Linked DNA regions of Neurospora crassa OR74A. The protein of the gene in region 3 purifies or fractionates together with the protein of the main gene of each other region. This does not show direct contact. Links are inferred from orthologs where the notes say so. Each region holds a gene or a part of one and is shown on either strand. Other genes may lie near its edges.

What was found.
Region 1: the proteins of NCU03440 (region 3) and NCU05232 purify together in Saccharomyces cerevisiae (affinity purification with mass spectrometry; 3 studies listed by BioGRID). This does not show direct contact. The link is inferred for Neurospora crassa OR74A from reciprocal best matches to the Saccharomyces cerevisiae genes APL3 and APL1.
Region 2: the proteins of NCU03440 (region 3) and NCU09673 purify together in Saccharomyces cerevisiae (affinity purification with mass spectrometry, with the first as the bait; 4 studies listed by BioGRID). This does not show direct contact. The link is inferred for Neurospora crassa OR74A from reciprocal best matches to the Saccharomyces cerevisiae genes APL3 and APM4.

The regions. Positions count from the first base shown.
Region 1 is NC_026504.1:5,672,376-5,676,659, reverse strand, and holds the start of NCU05232 (AP-2 complex subunit beta), read left to right. Parts: upstream 1-1,333; 5' UTR 1,334-2,062; coding exon 2,063-2,107; intron 2,108-2,367; coding exon 2,368-2,628; intron 2,629-2,690; coding exon 2,691-3,055; intron 3,056-3,104; coding exon 3,105-4,284. Other genes in the region: NCU05231 (ER membrane DUF1077 domain-containing protein), read right to left, coding at 225-303, 361-713, 774-914. UniProt on the Saccharomyces cerevisiae protein: Adaptins are components of the adaptor complexes which link clathrin to receptors in coated vesicles. Clathrin-associated protein complexes are believed to interact with the cytoplasmic tails of membrane proteins, leading to their selection and concentration.
Region 2 is NC_026505.1:874,913-879,360, forward strand, and holds NCU09673 (AP-2 complex subunit mu-1), read left to right. Parts: upstream 1-1,510; 5' UTR 1,511-1,622; coding exon 1,623-1,959; intron 1,960-2,050; coding exon 2,051-3,020; intron 3,021-3,115; coding exon 3,116-3,122; 3' UTR 3,123-3,984; downstream 3,985-4,448. Other genes in the region: NCU09674 (O-methyltransferase family 3), read left to right, coding at 119-859; NCU09672 (extracellular cell wall glucanase Crf1), read left to right, coding at 4,368-4,448. UniProt on the Saccharomyces cerevisiae protein: Component of the adaptor complexes which link clathrin to receptors in coated vesicles. Clathrin-associated protein complexes are believed to interact with the cytoplasmic tails of membrane proteins, leading to their selection and concentration.
Region 3 is NC_026502.1:711,387-713,566, reverse strand, and holds the end of NCU03440 (AP-2 complex subunit alpha), read left to right. Parts: coding exon 1-942; intron 943-1,053; coding exon 1,054-1,218; 3' UTR 1,219-1,674; downstream 1,675-2,180. UniProt on the Saccharomyces cerevisiae protein: Adaptins are components of the adaptor complexes which link clathrin to receptors in coated vesicles. Clathrin-associated protein complexes are believed to interact with the cytoplasmic tails of membrane proteins, leading to their selection and concentration.

The DNA.
Region 1 (4,284 bases), on a different chromosome or scaffold from region 3:
ACTTCTATGGCCCCGGTCTCTTGTACAGCCAACGTATCAAGCTAGAGATAACAAGTGATGTCCATGCAAAGGCGTACTCATATCGACATCCATAGCCAATGGTTACAAAAGAAGTTGCTGCCGTATAGAGACCAATCGCTGTGATATGCATATTTCGAACGTGTATAGTATCCGCGAAGTTGAGACTCAGTCTCCCTCTACCATCGTCCATCAAGTTCGAGGTCTCATAACGACAATGCTGGTACAGCATGTTCCAGCGGTTCCCTGCGCACTTCCCAAGCAAGCCAGTCGGATCTCGTTGTCCTGTATTCACCACGTTAGCCTTCGTTTCACCACACTCTCCCCAAGGATAAAACTGACGGTAGCAGTCCCATACTATTAATCTTCCACACACCCACCGCCAGCGCCAACACCTGCATAAGCACATAGGCCGCCTTCACCTGCAGAATAGACCCCCGGTTGCTGTCCGTCTCGAATCGCTCAAAGGCCTGGTTGGTCGACAACAAGCCCATGATGGGGTTCTTGAAGGCCATAAACACCATCATGATGCTGAAGATCTGGAGCGAGTTGCCGGACATGTACATCATGATGAGCGTCATGGGCAGGTTCTTGGCGGGCGCGAGGGCGACTTCCCAGGCCTTTTTGAGCTTGAGCTGGTCCATCTTTTCGGGGGAGGGTTGTTCGCGGGGGGCGGGGCGGGAGACATCCTTCTTCTGTAGGGGTAAACATGTCAGCGAGGGGGCTATGATTCGTGGTAATGGGAAGTTGCTTGCCTTGGAAGAACCAGATACGGCTTGCGACGAGTAGCCTGGGGGATCGGGGATGCTGGCAGGCTTGGACTTGTAAGGCGGTGGGTTGGCGAGGTCGGTTACCCATCTGGGGGCGGGGTCGACAACGGGTTTGAGGTCAGTCATGGCGGGCTTTGTGAATGTATCGTCTATAGAAAGTGAAGGTATTGGTAATGGGAAGTAGGTGGAAGCTGGATTGCGATGACGCCCAACGTGTAGTGTAGTGTAGTGTACGTGATGGAGTCCGTGCTTCGCTAAGGTAGCTGCCCGTCCCTGACTTCCACTTCCCGTTCGGTCTCTGAGACACCGCAGGGCCCCACTACACTTAGTTGAGCCGCTTCCCCACGCTGGCCGCCGAGTGGTGGGGACCGTGCGCTGTTGATGATGCTACCGAGCTCCACTGAAGCGTGCCAGTCGTTCACTGGCAGAAGGGCGTCGTCCAGTGGGCGTTCAGTGTTGACGGCACCAAAGCGGCAGGTCCAGGTCTGCAGGGTCCGCGATCGCTGACCAGGAGGTGCCGTAATTAATCGACCCGACGGTTCAGGGGACGCCCCAACCTGACCGGTGAACAGAATTGAACCCGTATTATTTTCCATCGTTACCCCCCCCGGCGAGTCAAGATTTGAACTAAACATCATCTTTTCCGTTGTCTGTCTGGCTCGTTGGAGTTTTGGCTGAAGACTACCGTACCTAGAAGCTGTTTCATCCCGATCAACTACGTACAGTACAGCGACAACAGAAAGTGGAGGGTACTTTGCGCCGGAACAGATCTTCACCGAGCCTACCGAGAGAGTGACGACGACAAGGACGACGACGACGACGACGACGACGAACATCGCGATCCTTCTTCGACGACAATTATCTCCATTAGTACTCCAGCACTCGGGAACTTCTTCGCGACGGACATTGGATTATCTGCCTCAACCTCCAAGTTACAAAATAAAGAGGAGGACAAGCAGCAGAAAGAGTGCCTGTGACACCCTGTTTCACCTGCTTGTTGTTACATTGGTTGGCTGTTCTCGACTCGACGATAATCACAAAACATATAATTGTGTTCCAGAGCCAGAGGGGCATTTTCCTTGCCTAGCACACCACCCACCACACCTTACGCCCGCGCCGAGCTCGTTTGCCATTCGTCCATTTTGTCGATATCGAACCTATTTTCGTTGCATCGCAAGCATTCCTCGGCACCGGGTTCGAATCGACCAAAACAGGAATAGCTGTGAGGAGGTTGTGGACGATAATACTATACTCTACAAGCAGCCAACAACAACATGTCGGCCGCACAAGGAGGAGGAGACTCCAAGCTGTTCGCGAGGGTAAGATGAAATATATCATTACACATGTTACGCTGCTCGGGATATGCCGTTGCTTTGTCTACCACCACCACCACCACCACCACCCCTCCTCCCATCCACCACCCCAGCTCAGCTTCCTTCCTGTATCCCCCCCCCCCCTCCCTTGCTTGCTTGTTTGTTTCTCCTCAACATCGCGAACCTTGATGACCGCAATGACCACCGCCACCATGTTTGTCGCATACCCTATCCCGCCGAACATTAGCTTACCACAGACTCGACAGGGCAAAGTAGCTGAGCTACGCCTCGAGCTGAACAGCGGCAGCAAGAAGGACAAGAACTTTACCCAAAAGAAGATTGCCCTCAAGAAGATTGTCGCCAACATGACCATGAGTAACAATGACATGGTCGGTTTGTTTCCCGATATTGTCGCCTGCATGGCCATCCAGAGCTTGGAAATTAAAAAGATGTGCTTCTTGTATCTGGTCAACTATGCGAGGATGAAGCCAGAGATTGCGGTAAAAGCAATTCCGGTTCTGGAACATGTAAGTCACCAACCACGTCCACCTTTTTTTGTGCGATATAGCCAGTCACTGACAAAGACCAGGACATGGAAGATCCAAACCCCCTGGTGCGCGCCCTTGCCCTACGGACCATGTCTTATATCCACGTGCGCGAGTTCGTCGAGGCTACTGTGCCACTAGTCAAGCACCTCCTCCGCGATATCGACCCCTACGTTCGCAAGACGGCGGCTTTCTGCGTGGCCAAGCTCTACGATCACGATCGACACATGGTTGAGGCTTCGGACCTTATTGACAGACTCAACAACCTCTTGAGAGACGACAACCCGACAGTGGTGGCCAGTGCCCTGGCGAGCTTGATGGATATCTGGGAGAGGAGTGATGCTATCAAACTCACTATCGACTACAGCAATGCCTCCAAGATGGTTGCCATTCTGGCCGACTGCTCCGAGTAGGTTATCCCCCTTGCAACACAAGTACGGTCTACTGATAGCAAGCAGATGGGGCCAAACCTACATCCTCGAAGCCCTCATGTCTTATATCCCCCAAGAATCCGGCGAAGCTCTCCTTCTCGCCGAGCGTATTGCCCCACGCCTCTCACATTCCAACTCGTCGGTAGTCCTCACCTGTATCCGTGTGATCCTTTACCTCATGAACTACATCTCCGACCAAAAGCAAATCTCGGCCCTCTGCCGGAAACTCTCCCCACCACTGGTCACCCTCCTCGCCAAGGGTCCCGAAGTGCAATACCTCGCCCTGCGCAACGCCCTCCTCATCCTCCAACGCCGCCCCGAAGTCCTCCGCAACGACATCCGCGTCTTCTTCTGCAAGTACAACGACCCCATCTACGTCAAGGTCACCAAGCTCGAACTCATCTTCATGCTCGCCAATGAGAAGAACATTGACGAGGTCTTGACGGAACTCCGCGAGTACGCCACCGAAATCGACGTCCACTTTGTCCGCAAGGCTGTCCGCGCCATCGGCAAACTGGCCATTAAGATTGAGCCAGCGGCCAAGCGATGCATCAACCTGCTGCTCGAGTTGGTCTCCACAAAGGTCACCTACATCGTGCAAGAAGCCACGGTAGTGATCCGCAACATCTTCCGCAAGTACCCGAACCAGTACGAGTCCATTATCGGCACCCTCTGCGAGCACCTGGACTCGCTCGACGAGCCCGAAGCCAAAGCAGCCATGGTGTGGGTCATTGGCCAGTACGCCTCGCGTATCGAGAACTCGGACGCCCTCCTCGAAGACTTTTTGTACTCCTTCGCCGAAGAGCCCGTCGAAGTCCAGCTCGCCCTGCTCACAGCAACCGTCAAGCTCTTCATCCAACGTCCCACCAAGGGCCAGGACCTCGTCCCGCGCGTGCTCAAATGGGCCACCGAAGAAACCGACAACCCCGACCTCCGCGACCGCGCCTACATGTACTGGCGTCTCCTCTCGACTGACATGGAATCCGCCAAGCGCATCGTCATGGGCGAGAAACCCGCCATCACCGCCGAGTCGGAGCGTCTCGACCCCGTCACCCTCGAGGAAATGTGTCTCAACGTCGGCACCCTCGCCACCGTCTACCTCAAGCCCGTCCAGACCGTGTTTCGTAACGCCCGCCCACGCAAACTCCCAGACTCCCCGTGCCTCCAACGCCCCGACTATCTTGACTACTCAACAGCCCACCAACTG
Region 2 (4,448 bases), on a different chromosome or scaffold from region 3:
ACCCCGTTGCCAAATAGCACCTCTTCATCAAGCCCGCCCCCCCCCCCCCCCGCCGCCGAGACGCCCTTCACCACCACAATCACTTTTAGCACCACAAACACTACATCTCACTATCAAAATGTCTACCGGCAACTTCAAATTCGAAAACAAGGGCCACAACTGGGTCCAAAACGACGTTTGGACCGCCGTCGACGGCTACACCATGGGCCAGCTCCACCCCTCCAGCAAGCCCAACGCCTCAGCCCTCCAAAACGCCCTTGATGCCTCTAAAGCCGCCGGCCTGCCCGACATCTCGGCCTCTCCGGCTCAGAGCAAGTTCATGGCTCTCCAGTGCCGCGTCTTGGGCGTCACACACGCCCTCGAGGTCGGCACTTTGGGCGGCTACTCGGCCATCTGGCTCGCCAGCGAGAACCCGCAAATGAAGCTTACCACTGTGGAGTTTGACCCCCACCACGTTGAGGTGGCGCGCAAGAACATTGAGTACGCGGGTTTGTCGGACAGAATCGAGGTTATTCAGGGATCAGGATTGGAGGTGTTGAACCAGCTGAAGAAGGAGATCGAAGAGGGCAAGAGGCCCAAGTTCGGCTTCTTCTTTATCGATGCCGATAAGCCAAATAACCTCAACTACTTCAACTTGGCGGTGGAAATGGCGCTGCCCAAGGCCATGATTTGCGTGGACAACGTGGTGCGCGGAGGCAGGCTGATTGATCAGAGCTTGACGGAGCCCAGGGAGACGGCGGGCAGGATTCTGGTCGAGGGAGTGGCCAAGGACACGAGGGTTGAGTCGGTGGTCATGCAGACTGTGGGCGAGAAGAGCTACGATGGATGTCTTTGGGCCATCTTGAAGACAGATGCTTGAAATACCTACCTATAATTGGGAGTTGAAGTGTACGATGTTATGAGTCATGACAGTGGTGGGGGACTTATCAAGCACTCGATTAAATAGTATGCTGCAATGAAAAGGAACCGTTACATGTCGCCTTGAAAATTCCTGAAGCTCCAAATAATGAAGTGGTCGTAGGTGGGATGAAGCAGGATGTCGTGCTCCTCAGATGTCGTATTGCCCATCCTTTTTCCCCTTGGCGCAGAGTTGTAGACGTGCTCCTTGTTTATTGTTAGTGCCACGAAAAGGGGCTTCGTTGTCAAAGTACCTCGTTGCTTGGTGCAGAGCGCAGTGCGTGTGTCACTAACAATTTTCCATCAGGCCTCGCTGCTGTGTTTCCTAAACGCTTAGGGCAGGAGTAAGGTATGATGTACCTACCTTGCTCGGTTATTGCCTGCCGTAGGGTGCGACAGGACGGAGACTGGCACACAGCTCAGAGCGGCAGGCTCCTCTCCCCAGCAGGGCACCCATGTCGCGCGCCCCCGTAGCGTCCACCATCCCCTGAAGAGCCGCCGTTCAGGTGGCACTAGTCGGGGCGCTCAACACCTAGGTACAGCACACGCAGGTACCTAGTAATGGGGTGTAGAGAGAGGTAGACGCGGGTTGCTGTTCCTGACCGCCCGCCGCCTTTGACATTGAAACTTGCCCGCCCGTGTCTGCCGTCGCCGCCCGTCGCCAACTCGACTTGCAACTCTCAATCATTACCTTCCTTCTTCTCCCCCCGACGACACCCGTCACGATGCTGTCCGGGATCCTCATCTTCAACCAAAAGGGCGAGAACCTCATCTTCCGAGCCTTCCGCAATGACTGCCGCCCACGACTGGCGGACGTGTTCCGCATCCAGGTCATCAGCAACGCCCAGGTCCGATCCCCTATCTTGACCCTCGGCAGCACCACCTTCAGCCATGTCAAGCACGAGAACATCTACCTGGTCGCCATCACCCGTAGTAACGCCAATGCCGCCCTGGTCTTCGAGTTCCTCTACCGCTTGATCCAGCTGGGTCGCGGCTACTTTGGCAAGTTTGACGAGGAGGCCGTCAAGAACAACTTTGTCCTGGTCTACGAGCTCCTGGATGGTATGTCCCACCTACGGTAGCCCCCCTTTTTGGTGTTTCTAGATGGCGGCTTGCAACTAACCTCAACTCTATGTCCGCCGCGCCCTTACAGAAATCATCGACTTTGGTTATCCCCAAAACACCGAGACCGACACTCTCAAGATGTACATCACAACCGAAGGCGTCAAGTCGGAGCGCGCCGTCGAGGACTCCGCCAAGATCACCATGCAAGCTACTGGCGCTTTATCCTGGCGCAAGGCCGATGTCAAGTACCGCAAGAACGAAGCCTTTGTCGACGTAATCGAAGATGTCAACCTGCTCATGAGCGCAACCGGCTCCGTCCTGCGCGCCGACGTCAACGGCCAGATCATCATGCGCGCCTACCTCAGCGGCACGCCCGAGTGCAAGTTCGGTCTCAACGACCGCCTCCTACTCGACCAGGACGGACTCATGAGCCTGCCCAGCGGCAACAGGATGGGGAGCAAGGCGACCAAGGCCGCGGCCGGCAGCGTCACGCTCGAAGATTGCCAATTCCACCAGTGCGTCAAGCTGGGCAAGTTTGACAGTGACCGCATCATCAGCTTCATTCCGCCCGACGGCGAGTTCGAGCTGATGAGGTACCGCGCAACCGAGAACGTCAACCTGCCGTTCAAGGTGCACGCCATTGTCAACGAGGTGGGCAAGACAAAGGTGGAATACAGCATCGGTGTGCGCGCCAACTTTGGATCCAAGTTATTTGCGACCAACGTGGTCGTCAAGATTCCCACGCCGCTCAACACGGCCAGGATCACGGAGCGCTGTACCCAGGGCAAGGCCAAGTACGAGCCGTCCGAGAACGTGATTGTGTGGAAGATTGGTCGCTTTGCTGGACAGAGCGAGTTTGTGCTGAGCGCCGAGGCCGAGCTTACGAGCATGACAAACCAGAAGGCTTGGAGCAGGCCGCCACTCAGTATGAACTTTAGCTTGCTGATGTTTACCAGCTCTGGCTTGCTGGTTCGCTATCTTAAGGTGTTCGAAAAGAGCAACTACTCGAGTGTGAAGTGGGTGAGGTATATGACAAGGGCAGGAAGCTACGAGATTAGGTAGGTTGCCGTTCTTTTCGTTTTTTTGTTCTTCTTCTCCGATTTCTTTGCTGTCTCCTTTACCGGCGCAATGCATTTCGCTAATACTTTCACAGGTTCTAAATTATTGTATAATACGTAATGGCGTGCGCCACCGACTACACACCCTATCCGGTTAATGCACGGGCCATCCTACCACCTACGGCATATAATAGCACGGCGTCTGGGCGTTACTAGTTACACGAAGGGAAGCATCAGGCGATTGATACCAGAGTAATAAAATCAACTTATACAAGGAGATGTCCCAAAGGGGGAACAAGGGTCACAACAACGTTACGACGAGCACAAAACGACGAAAAGCTCTTCGCCAGTGTATGGGACAGGCACGATAATACGTGGCACGCGTGGCAGTGAGCTATAGGACATGGGGCCGTGCGATATGGAGAGCTAAACTTCAAGCGATAGGATATGTCGCCAATCAGCTTTGTATGAAACTACCAGACCATGGGTGCTGGTGAAGGGAATGGTCTGGAACAGCACCAGGGGAATGGCTTGTCCGATGATAGAAAGAGACACGGGAAAAATGTTTTGAACTCATCTCCTGTTGTCCTGTTAATACGATCGAGCATGGCTGAAACGGGAATGTGCTTACATAGTAACAGGTCCCTCGAGAGGCCTGATACCGGTGGCCTTGGACTGGAGTTGGCCGCCTACTTAGCACCCAGGACCTTGCGAACCAACGAACTTGAACTCCGGATTTTTCTGCGCTTTTTGGTCCATCGAGCCGTGGCTCATTCTTCGCAACTCTAGAGGCACCTAGGACCAAATCTATTCGCTTGGTTTTGCCTCTCTAGGCAACGGTTTAGAAAATAGTGATTCAGTCTTACGGACACGATACAGCCCTGCCAGCTTGTCAGTGTCAGTTAGTGTTCACCATCACCGTTTCTGACTCGATAATTGCCGTCGTTCCAGCTTCCACCGTGTGACGAAAGACAGGCTGTTGTTTTGCTCCGTCTCGATCTGAGCGCTTGCGTCTCGTCGATGTGTTATCGATCAAGTGCCAACGGATATACCAAGTATGACGACGCGGAAAGGACGAAGCGTACTTGATCCCGGAGTCACCATCACAACTACTAGGACCAGACAGGTAGGTAGAAAAGGTGAGGAATGCGGCCGTCTTTCCGCAGCGTCGACAGTCTGGTTTGGCATTCCCCAAATCTTGAACTGGACCGCGTTTATTGTGCGTCGTCGTCATTGCTGAGTGTCGTGAAAGATATCAACCCCATCCGCATCTTTCTCTCATCTTTTACTCTGGGTCTCGTTCCTCCCCTTGGCCTTTTTCCCAATATCCCCTCACTTAAGAAAACAATGGGCAACGATACGTTGAGCCTCCTGTTGCCGAGGCTGTTCTTGGTTCTTTCGGCATTGGTTGCGTTGGCTGCTGCACAA
Region 3 (2,180 bases):
AAGCACGCCAACACCAGCGACAAGAGGACCTGGATTGTTGGTGGCAAGGATGCCAACGCGGACAGTGCAGAGCTCAGCCTGGCCAAGAAAGCCAGCCTCAGGCGGACCTTTAGCACCAAGACCGGACCAGCCAACGGCGGTGCTGCCCCGGCCGCCGGAGCCACCAACGGATCTTCATCTGCCAATGACCTTGCTGGTCTCGACATGAACAACATCGGTCCTGCCGAAGCCAAAGTCATTAAGGCGCCCAACCTCGCCAGCGCCGCTCACTTGTCTCCCGGGTGGGAGAAGGGCTTCAACCGGCTCCTCTTGCGCGCCGACGGCATTCTCTTCGAAGACGGGCAGATCCAGGTCGGCGTGCGCGCCGAATATCGCGGCCAAATGGCGGCCATCATCCTCTACTTCACCAACAAAACACCAGCCGTCATCGGCTCCTTCACCACCACGCTCGATCTGGACCCTTCGGAGCGCGCCAACCTGTCTTGGGACGTCAAGAGCATGCCCGAAACCACCATCTACCAGGGCGCGCAAACGCAGCAGGTCGTCGTCTTTGAAGCCAAGCGCGTGTTTGAGAAGGCGCCCACCGTCCGCATTTCGTATCTGGCTGGCGCTCTGCAGGCGCTTACCCTGAAACTGCCCGTCGTCATCCACAAGTTCATGGACCAGGCCGAGTTGTCGGCTGACGACTTTTTCAAGCGGTGGAAGCAGATTGGCGGCGCACCGCGCGAGGCTCAGCGCATCTTTGGACTCTCTGGGCCCAAGGATGGGGAGAGGGAGATTACGGAGAGTTTCATTCGCCAGGTGCTGGAGGGGTTCAGATGGGGATTGCTGTATAATGTTGATCCCAACAGCAAGAACTTTGTGGGGGCTAGTGTGGTGCATACGAGCGAGGGAGGCAAGTTTGGATGTTTGATGAGGTTGGAGCCTAACTATGGGACTCAGGTGAGTTTTTTTTTTTTTTTTTTTTTTCTCTCTTTTACTCTCTCTCACTCTCTATTCAACTTTGACGCATGGGATGGGATGGAATGCTAATACACGATGAAATGTGTACAGATGGTTCGGTTGACGATTAGAGCGACGGATGAGACGGTGCCGCCCGTGTTGCTCAAGATGATGGAGGAACGCCTTTCGCAGGGTGTGTCGATTCGCCCGGAGAGATATGAACCCCCGACGGCGAGCGACATTACCGAGTCGTTTAGGAATATCATGGTTAGGTAATAAGGGGGTGGGTGGGTGATGGCGGTAGTGTATGTGATTAAGAGGGGTCAGGGGTGGTGGTCGAAGGTCAAAAGACTACTGATTAAAGTCAGCGACTACCTACAGTACCGGGTCAAGTCATTGAGCCAAGGGCACACATGTGATTAGTGTGGCCCGAAGTCAGCGAAAGGTGTAGTATTATAGTAATAACCGGAGGTGCAACTGCACTTGTTGACGGTCATTGTCTATCTGGCTGTCGAAACTTGCAAGAGGCAGCACCAAGGAGGAGGAGAAGGAGGAGGAGGAGGAGGAGCTGATGAGAGAGTTCATTATGCTAGAAGGTAGTATATCTGGCAAAGAATAATGTTGATATGGAAGTAACCTCAAGGGAAGACAGGACTCCATGATGGTGTAGGGAGTGTGCGTTGAGTGTTGTGTGTGGACTTTCCTTGTATTCCATCCCCGGGCTGATAAGGCGATAACCAACAAGTGAACAGACGTGGACGTCAGACTGCAGCAGCCAGCAAGGTGCGAGAAATGGTACCCCGCTGGCCCCACTGAGCCGTGATCGTATGGTCCGAGCTCTACATATAATGCTGGTTTGTTTGTTAGCTCTGTACCCCGAGGAAGATACTGTCCAACCTATTACAAACGCAACAATGTTGTTTGGAGATAGACCAGCTATAGCCAGACAAACTCTCTGTATCTGTCTTCAACTTTTCATGTCAGATACAACTCTCAATCATTATATCAAGTACATTAAGTTATTGCTGAAACGCCTACACAAGTCGACTAGAGGTCTCGAGCTAACGAACAAACCCATTAAGCTAAGGTTTATTAGCGCCGATCACTCTGGTTGCTCATCAGCGGCTGGTCGGGTGGGTGATTGCGGTTGCATCACTTGACCGTTGAGACGGCGGGCTTTCACCGCAGTGATAAGTGATAACGTGAGCTTCTACTGCGTGTGCAAACACCACTCCCCT